Schizosaccharomyces pombe: one gene and its partner. The gene in region 1 interacts genetically with each later gene. Each region holds a gene or a part of one and is shown on either strand. Other genes may lie near its edges. The genes, in order: atf31 and atf21.

Region 1 (5,252 bases):
AAACCGAGGCATGATCCTACTGTGCTTGGAGCTTTGGTGATGAGCAGGCCCAAGACTTGGGATCCAAGGTATGGTAAAAGTGAATGCTTGATCTAACATTACAGGACGCATGTAGATGTTGTTATTGATCCTTTCCTTTCAAAGCATCTTTATTCTCATCAGCGGGAAGGAGTTTCCTTTCTTTACGACTGTTTATTAGGAATGGAAGGAAAATGTGGATATAGTGCAATTTTGGCTGATGAAATGGGCTTAGGAAAAACGTTGCAAACTATAACAGTTGTCTGGACTTTATTGAGTATGAGACTTAGGGTTTTTTTTAACTTTCATTCTCTAATCTTATTATTTAGAGCAGTCTTATTACGCCAATCGTTCTTCGACTATAAACAATGCAATGGTCGTAGCACCTGTCACTCTTTTGAAGGTAAGAAGTTTCAAAACTTCATTACTAATGGCTAGAATTGGGAAAATGAGTTTTATAATTGGCTCGGTCACGAGCGTATTCATGTTTATATAGCTAGATGCGCTGAAGATTTCCAAGAATTTACGTCGAACAAAACTTATTCGATTATCATTACAGGATATGAAACGGTAATTCCTTTATTTATTCTTTTTTCTAATTGCTAAAGGTTTGTACGTACTTGAGAAACTATGGATGCGGGATTGATATTGATCTTCTAATTTGCGACGAAGGTATTGATTTGTTCATAAATAGTTTATTAATCTTAGCTCACCGCTTGAAGTCCATGAGTAGTCAGACTTGGATTACGCTGAATAAGCTAAAAACTAGAAAGAGGCTTCTTCTCACTGGTACGCCTTTACAAAACGGTATGAATCAGTGAATGCTATTTAATTTTAACCGCTCAGATTTGTCAGAATATTTCTCTATGGTTAACTTTATAATTCCTGGATCTCTGGGGACCCCAAATTCTTTTAAAGCTCAGTATGAGCGGCCTATATTAAGGAGTAGATCAATGAATGCTTCCTCTAGGGACATATCATTGGGAGCTGCAAGACTTCAAAGGGTTTGTTTACTAAAGATAAATTTTATACTGATTTTTAGCTTTTTGAATTTACAAGCAATTTCACGTTAAGGAGGAAAGCCAATATACTGGCTAAACATTTACCGCCAAGAAGTATGCAAATATTAAAATCAGTATTAACATAATAGCCGACATTGTTTTATTCATAAAACCAACACATCAACAAGAGAATGTTTATGGACATGTTCTCGATGGTTTCAAGTCAAGCGTTGATCAGAAGGGCTATTATCTTAAAATTTTGACTCGCTTGAGCAAGATATGCAATAGCACCATTTTATTGAGAAATGAAAAGGAAAATTTTTTGTCAACGGAGTTGCAAGATAAGCATGTATTCGAGCAAGAGAATATGTTGCTCTCCTCTAGCAAACTGCAAATATTGGCTGCGCTACTTAAAAGTTTCCAAAGGGGTTGCCAAAAAGCTGTTATTGTGTCCCAATATAAAGAAACTCTCGAGTTGATTGAATTGTTTTTATCAATTTTGCATGTCCGTTTCTGTAAATTGCTTGGAAGTACTCCTTTCTCTGAGCGTGATTTAATAGTACACAATTTCAATACTTCCAGCTTCAAAGAATTTAGTGTGCTTTTACTTTCAAGCAAAGCTGGTGGCTGCGGTTTAAATCTTACCGGATCCACTAGGTTAATAATTTACGAACCAAGTTGGAACCCTGCCCAAGATTTGCAAGCATTGTCAAGGATATATAGAAGCGGGCAAAAGCGGCCAGTCTGTATATACACATTTTTAAGGTACGACCGCTTTTACGAATAACATATTAAGTTATGCAGCAGTGGAATGCTAGATGAGCGCATTTTTATTCGCCAAAATACTAAGCAAGGGCTTTCAAGTTCGTTCATAGTATGTGATTTATTATAAAATTTTATACTGACTTGATTGTAGGATTCCGATGCAAGCCAAAAGAAGAATTTTTTTACGGGTGAAGACATCAAGACACTTTTTTCATATTCAAAAACTGAAACTTGCTTGACATATGAATTAGCATTTGATTCTGATGAAATTGATTCATTAACAAAGAAAAAAGATCCGTTAACTAAAATTGACCATACGATTGATTCCCCAAATACGAAGGAAAAAGATAAAGAAATCAGTTCTTGGAAAAAGGCTTCTGAATATATGGATACTAATTTGGTAAGTTGTATTTTCATCCTAATATTAATGGCCAGGGGAAAAAGTGTCCAGAGAACGCATTTCAAGGATGGACTTGGCAATTTCCGAATGACCTAAGTATTATGAATGGCGTAGAAGATTATATCCCTCTTGAGCCTTTACCTATCAACTGTCTAATGCATAAAAAGTTCGAATAGATCTATTTCGGACTTTTAAGGAGGCGTAAGCGGTTTTTCCTTGCCCATTAGAAACAACGCTTTTGAGCAAGCCTTCGATACTGGGCAATCTCTATGAGCAAACACCAAGGTTCTCAGTTTAATTATTTCTTCTCTTAAATCATTAGCACTTTGCAAAAGCTCCTTGTTTTCAGAAGTGTAGTAGTTGACTTGGTCTTGTAATGTTTGTAAGTACTTTTTCTTTTTTATCCTACACTTTTGGGCAGCTTGTCTGTTTCTGGCTTTCAACATTGACTGCTTAGTTCCAGTTAATTTGGAAGTGTTTTCATCACCTGAGTCATCCAGCTCTCGTGATGGTGAGTTGTGTGAAGCCTCGGAAATTATACTGGGGCTTTTAGAGGCAGTGTATTCTGATAATTCATCAAAATCGCTTCTCCTGATATTATATGGATCATTGTTAATAGGGGATCGATCGTCGCCGAGCTCTAAAGCTTTACGTTTGGCTGTCAATAAAATCTGAGTTTGCATAAATTGTGAAAAATCGAGGGTTTGGGAAATTGAGATGTCTTTTTCGAAACGAGAAAGATAAATTGAGTTGTATTCTTCTCCATCTTCATGCTTCGGAATAATGGATTCCTCGGTTGGTGTATTTGTTTCGTAGGTCATGCTGAAAATGATTTATTGATCAATAATTTTTTTAAGAAAAATTTATAGCGTCTTATGAAAGACTTCTTTTTCGCAAACGAGTAGAATTATATATTTGATTTTTTTTATGAGTTTTTGGCACCAACTTCTTTTAATAATCGATTTCAAAGTGATCACTATAAACGATAAAATTTGTACAGCTGGATAATGCCGATTAACTGGTAAATAGGTGAATTATTGAACTTTCCGTCAATATCCTTTATAACAGCTTGATACAAATATGAGCGTTTGTTTGCTCACGCGAGGTTTATATAAGTCCTTTATGAGGGAATATTAAATTCAAGCATTGTGAGGAAGTCCATGTAAACAAACACTTTTTCTTGTGAACACAACAACAAAATTATAATGCCTGGTTATTTTAAAAAATTACTATCAACAAACTGTATACAAGTATATTCGCATATGTATGCACATATTTTTGTTAGATATTATATAAGAATTTGGGTAACCAAAATTATTACTAGATATCCCTAAAAACAACATTAAACAAGACAGTTCCATCATAACCAATTTAGTCATTAACATTTAAATTTAAAAATTGTTTAATGTAATAGTTCAACAATGCGGAGGGCTAAATCCTCAGATTCACCCCTTGAACTAGCTTCCGCATACACACTACAATTAGAGTTAGAATGATAATTAACATTGAACTTACCGAACAGCATCCTCGGTTCCAGATGATCGAACAAATGCCCGACCGCCCGTGTATTTTGCTACCAAAGCGTCAATTTTTTCTTGAAGTCCTTCCGGTGTTACTAGTTTTTGTTCGGCATCAGTAGTAGTATAAATTGACCGGTCTTCTACTTCACAGCGAATTAGACGACTAGGAATTTCGCTATATAGCTGATTCCACTCTTTCAAAGTGCAATTTTTGTGAGCCAAAATGACTTCCACCAAAAGTAAATTAGTAATAGCATCTCCATCAGTTTGATTAATCAATTCAAAGACTGTTTTTAGAGTTTTTAAGGCATTAAATTGGGCTGGAGACAATACTTCATGAGAAATTATCTTTGATAATGCAGCATGAGAGACTAAAATTGTACCATGACCATTTGCTTCAAAAAATACTCCAACATCGTAAGCTTGAGCAGCATGGTAAAGATGCTTAAGACCGGGAGACACACATAAAACCGGTACCTTTAAAGTTTTTTGGAAAAATGCCGTGCTGGCTCCATTTGCATAAGCAGTCTGAACAATACCAACTTGAAGGTCCAAACCAGTAGAACGGATTAGGTCGATTAGAAATTGGGCAAATAAAGCGCATATTTTGTCACCATCTAACAGATGAAAGCTGTGAGAGCCAAACGCAAAATACACAATTCGATCAGCATCCCCGTCAAAAGAGGCACAACGGGCATGTTTTGGGGCACTAATACCGTTTGGAGGCTTTTGCTGAGTCCTTACAAAATCCGCTCCACACTAGTAAATTAGCATGCAATTGTAAACAATGTATCAAAAAAACTTACCGAGTTATTCAACAGTTCAGGATTATCAATATTGTCGTTTACGATTTCGATAGGAAACAGCTTTGGATCAATATACTTGGCCAGTTCTTTTATCTTAGCCGCTCCGACGCCGTTAGCAGCATCTATCAATACAGTCCCTTTAATCTTCTTTCCTGTCATTAAGGATTGATATGCCTTCGACAGCTTTTCAAAATACCCTCTTTCAGTAGGTTCACCTATTGCATCTGGGGTACCATAAGTTTGAGAAGCCTTGACCATGTAGTGTAGCTGAGGTGTAGTTAAAAGGCCAAAATTTTCGTACTTTGCTTTGCAGACCACAATACCGTCAATTACAGCTTGCGCAAGGATTTCTGAAGTAGACCTAAGTATTAGATGTTAGTCTTGGACATAAGATTTAAAAAAGCGGAGAAATTAAGTGATCTAATATCGACAATAAAAGTAAAACAAACCTTGAGTCATAGCCAACAAACACCCGAGCTTCAGAACCGGGAATAATCTTTGCCTTTTTCAAAATTGAAGTTAAACAAACCGTTAATTCGTCAGCGGAATCCGCATTTACTACTTGATCCAGGTATGCTTCCCATTTGCTAGAATCCAGGCTACTCAAAATGTTTACGATCTTTAACCCGTTTTCGGAAGAGGCGTTGTGCGAGGCAGTCACCATAACTAAGATTGTTAGTAAGTAAACTCAAAGAAATACAAAGGAACAAGATGGATATCAATATGTAAATGAATCATCTCG
Region 2 (4,246 bases), on another chromosome or scaffold:
TATATGAAACGGTCATTTGCAAAAGTCAGTAAGTTTCAATGACTATAATGAAAATATATTGACTCGACGACACATAGTGAATCATGAGTCAGAGTCCGTATGAAGTAATATGTTCCTAATTTGACGGCTGCATTGAAAATTCAGCAATCGGAAGGAATGAATAAGAGAAAAATATTCAAAAGAAGTGAAATAGCTACGTGGGTTAATCAATAGTGTCTACGTCCAATTATTATCTGAGGTATACACATGCAACAATCACGGCATTTACATCTCAGTAAATTAAAATAAAGAAAAATAATATCATTAAATTAAGTCAAAAGGTTTAAAGGTGATATCCTATGAATTCGGGAAATTGCCAACTATATCTTAGATAGTCACATTTCTACCAAATTGACGTAGAGCTTAATTAAATATTCCAGATGTTGCTAAAGTATTCTCATATTGTCAACTGCGAAGTTCAACATCTTTCGATTTGCAGAACTGATTCAATCCAGTGGCTAACTCATGGTCGTATGTACGATCCGTTCTGTCTATTTTGATTTAATGTGACCAAAAGTTAAACTTCATCTCGTGTATAGTTAAAAGATATGATAGTATACATACTAAAAATGAGAATTCTGGCAAACCAGATTTAAATCAATAACATGTTACTCTTGCTTGCGACAATATAAGTAAATGTGGGCAAGAAAGATGAAGAAGTATTAGAAACAAGTTGCGGCTAAATTTTGAGAAAGGATTGATAGCGGAAAGGCTACTAATAGTAATGATATGAGCTATTATTATCAGTAACGATAAAGCCGTTTATGGTGGCGCGCGTAAGAGAACGACAAAATTTGAAGCCTAGGTAGTTTCATCAAAACCATTAAAGGAAATAAATATGAAAAAAGCTAGCAAGAGAGGCGATATTATATTTTCGCATTCACAACTTTACTATTGACGACTACGAATACCGAGGGATAGCGTTATTATCTCTCCACAAGTAATCGGCTATTTTTTGATTGGTTTAAATAAAAGTAAATCCTGATTATATTTGACATAATCTGCATCAAATAGAACTCTAGATTTTCCTTTCCGAATATGGTGGCCAATTAACGGTACGACTGTGATGTAAATATTACACAGTGGAGCGACACGTGAATGTAGTCCCCTTCGGTTAGCTCCTTAAAATGGAGGCCTTAAAGGATAATACTGCTTGACTTTTTTAGCATAGTGCCTTTGTTAATTGCAACAAATCCCTTCAAACAAAAAAAAAATAAATTTTTATAAAGAAAAACTTTTTATTTCTATACGGCAAGTTCATCTCATAAAGTAAACAAATCATTTCCCGATTGGCTACCCTAGCCCTTCGTTTGTTTGTTTTGCAGTGACGTCAAAATTCATCTCACCCGATCAACATATATAAACATTGCGACACAAACCAAAAAGTTACCGACTGCAGCATCATATTTCTCAGCAGAAACGTATTCTTATAGTAATCCAAGTCCAAAATTAAGGAATTGGTATCTTAAACCACCTTAGTACATAGTTCTCTATTGTTTATAAGCCTCTTTACTTGCCAGGGACGCAGTAAGACATTGCTTCCTTCACCACCTTCATTATCCTTTACCTTCTTTCTCTGTCCACCTTATATATATATACTTATTTTCCCAGGAATCCTCACTTTTGCCATTAATCCATTCCATCCTTCTGTAGAACGACGAATTGTCATCCCTTCCTTTATCGTTCGTTCATTTCCTAAAACCGGGACACTACTGCATGCTTAAAACAGAGGAAAAATAAAGAGAGAACACATTTATATAATTGAAAGAAACTTTTCCATTGATAGCTCCTAAGTTTCAAATCACCAACTTGTCGGTTTATACATTCTTCATTTTCTTTTATTTACTTTTTTGAAGAAGTTCACAGGGATCACTATTCAGAAATTTTATACAAAGATATTGCATCCTTATTCATCAATCCAAATTTGCGTCACTTGATCGACCACAATTTGCTTCATCTTCCCTTCCCAATTTGTTTCGCCAGCACCTGAATAACATAGCCTCTTTTTAAGATTTAACCTTCTTCAAGAAATCACTACATATTCGCACTACTAACAAAAAAGAAACTTTCGCTTTTTATTTAGTCCGTTCTTGTATCAACTATCTTCATCGGCTTTACCGTCGAAACCATTTCAACCGCACTCAATAGAAAATTAACTTGCTCATCATCAATCTTCCATCATGGATTTCGCAAATGTGTATCTCGGGTTAGATACACTAGGTAATGAAGGATATGGTGCTAGCGTCAGTAATGGCACTCACCATGATTTTCATTTTAACTTCAATACATTCCGCGATGGTGGTAACCATGAAGTTGGAGAAAAACGCGCTGAATCTAGCGATATCGGAGTATATGAATGTAGAGGTCCAGTCCAGGGACCTAAAGATCAAACATCCTTTCCCTCGAATTCACATAATAACTACGCTTCAATAGTAGGTGATGCTAGCATTGGACATTACCTCAAAGGACCCGAGCGTACTTCAGAGGTATCATTACCTCAAACGGTAAACCTTTCGGAGATTTCTAACAATAATGACAAAGGCCAGCCTACAAATACTCCTCCTGTACGCTCAACAATTGTTGCACCTTCATTATACTCTGAAGGTAGTACTTTGAATCATTATAATAATGGATCTCATCAAGTGCTTCATCCACAATTCCAAAATGGAACCAACGCCCCATACGTAGTGCAGTCAAATCTTATGCAAAACAATGTTAATCTAACAGGAGCGGAACAAGAAAAAGGTTTGGACCTATATAAGAATTCCGCTACTGCGAATAACGATGAGATTTTCTATAATCTTGAATCCTTACGTAGAGAAGGATACTTAAACTCCAACAAGAAGCAGTCTCAATCTCCAAATGGAGACTACAACAGCAGCGATGAGTCCTGTTCCAATAAAACCGTCGCCTCCAGTCAACGACGGGGTACACCTGGCAGTAACAATGTTCATACCGCTAGTAACAATGAAACTCCTGATATGAAGAGGAGGCGGTTTTTAGAGAGAAATCGAATAGCCGCATCGAAATGCCGCCAAAAGAAAAAGCTTTGGACACAGAATCTCGAAAAAACAGCACATATCGCATGTGAGCAGTCGAAAGCTCTAAGGATTTTAGTCAGCCAACTACGTGAAGAAGTAATTTGTTTGAAGAATCAACTATTAGCTCATCAAGATTGCAATTGCGAAGGAATTCGACAATATCTTTCTTCAGAGGCTCAAGGAATTATGTCCTTTCAGAAACATTGAGCAAATGACACCCCATTGAATCAAGTTTCGTAACATTTTTTTATTATACTGTATATGCATTTCTGAGAGCCTGGATAGAATCTTGCAATAGGAGATGCTTAAAAGACGGCCAGTGCTGCTCTACTGCTTGTCTATAGTAATTGTACTTTAACTCTGGCATATTTTATTTTTCTTTTTTCACAATACTATTATTTTCTTCGCGTCACTGTGTTCATGGGATTTGCAATCTCACTCCAAACTCGTTTCATTCAATTGCTTGGGTTTTTCATTCATGTTTCTTCATTAAAAGTGTTTATGTTTCGAAGATCCTTTACGCACGTTTCATTTCCAGATTAATAATTACTGTAATGATATATCTTCCCTATATGTATTTTTTTAATAGGTTACGATTGCTTTACGAACTTGACCTAGATGAGCCAAATCTGTAATCACTGCCATATAATCTGTACCTCGTTCACAGACATGTCATTTTATCTTCAGTACGACACCACAGTTACATATATTGTTTGCTTTGGAATAAAAAAAAAATTAAGTAATAGAATAACACTTTCTGAAGTAAATGGTAGAAAAGATAACAGTATTCGTAGAGCAGCTATAATTATATGCATTTTTGCGTTTTGCAGCAAAAGATCACTATACTGCATAAGGAATTTTTATACAAACCATGTGTCTTTATTTAGTACATTAAGACTATATCCCGTTTCTACTCCTTCAGAAAGTGCTTAAGCCCTCTCTTAGCAAAGAAACGAGTGTATTATTAAAAGGAATGGCACCCTCAGAGAAAGACATTGAAGAGGTATCAGTCCCTGGAGTTTTAGCACCGCGCGACGATGTGAGGGTTTTAAAGACACGAATTGCCAAATTATTAGGAACAAGTCCTGATACATTTCCTGGATCACAGCCAGTTTCTTTTTCAAAGAAACATTTACAAGCATTAAAAGAAAAGAACTATTTCGTAT

Evidence for each region.
Region 2: of atf31 (region 1) and atf21, changing one enhances a phenotype caused by changing the other (phenotypic enhancement), as found in Schizosaccharomyces pombe (one study listed by BioGRID).

The regions. Positions count from the first base shown.
Region 1 is NC_003424.3:704,469-709,720, forward strand, and holds atf31 (DNA-binding transcription factor Atf31), read right to left. Parts: upstream 3,006-5,252; coding exon 2,376-3,005; 3' UTR 2,361-2,375; coding exon of another isoform or gene 2,220-2,360; 3' UTR 2,185-2,219; coding exon of another isoform or gene 1,936-2,184; 3' UTR 1,894-1,935; coding exon of another isoform or gene 1,824-1,893; 3' UTR 1,785-1,823; coding exon of another isoform or gene 1,169-1,784; 3' UTR 1,134-1,168; coding exon of another isoform or gene 1,061-1,133; 3' UTR 1,023-1,060; coding exon of another isoform or gene 865-1,022; 3' UTR 826-864; coding exon of another isoform or gene 727-825; 3' UTR 691-726; coding exon of another isoform or gene 627-690; 3' UTR 589-626; downstream 1-588. Other genes in the region: ATP-dependent DNA translocase Rdh54, read left to right, coding at 1-68, 105-295, 348-421, 457-588, 627-690, 727-825, 865-1,022, 1,061-1,133 and 4 more; SPOM_SPAC1296.01C (phosphoacetylglucosamine mutase), read right to left, coding at 3,587-3,659, 3,700-4,463, 4,511-4,871, 4,960-5,176.
Region 2 is NC_003423.3:1,720,794-1,725,039, forward strand, and holds atf21 (Atf-CREB family transcription factor Atf21), read left to right. Parts: upstream 1-2,219; coding exon 2,220-3,287; 3' UTR 3,288-3,657; downstream 3,658-4,246. Other genes in the region: mRNA guanylyltransferase Ceg1, read left to right, coding at 4,054-4,246.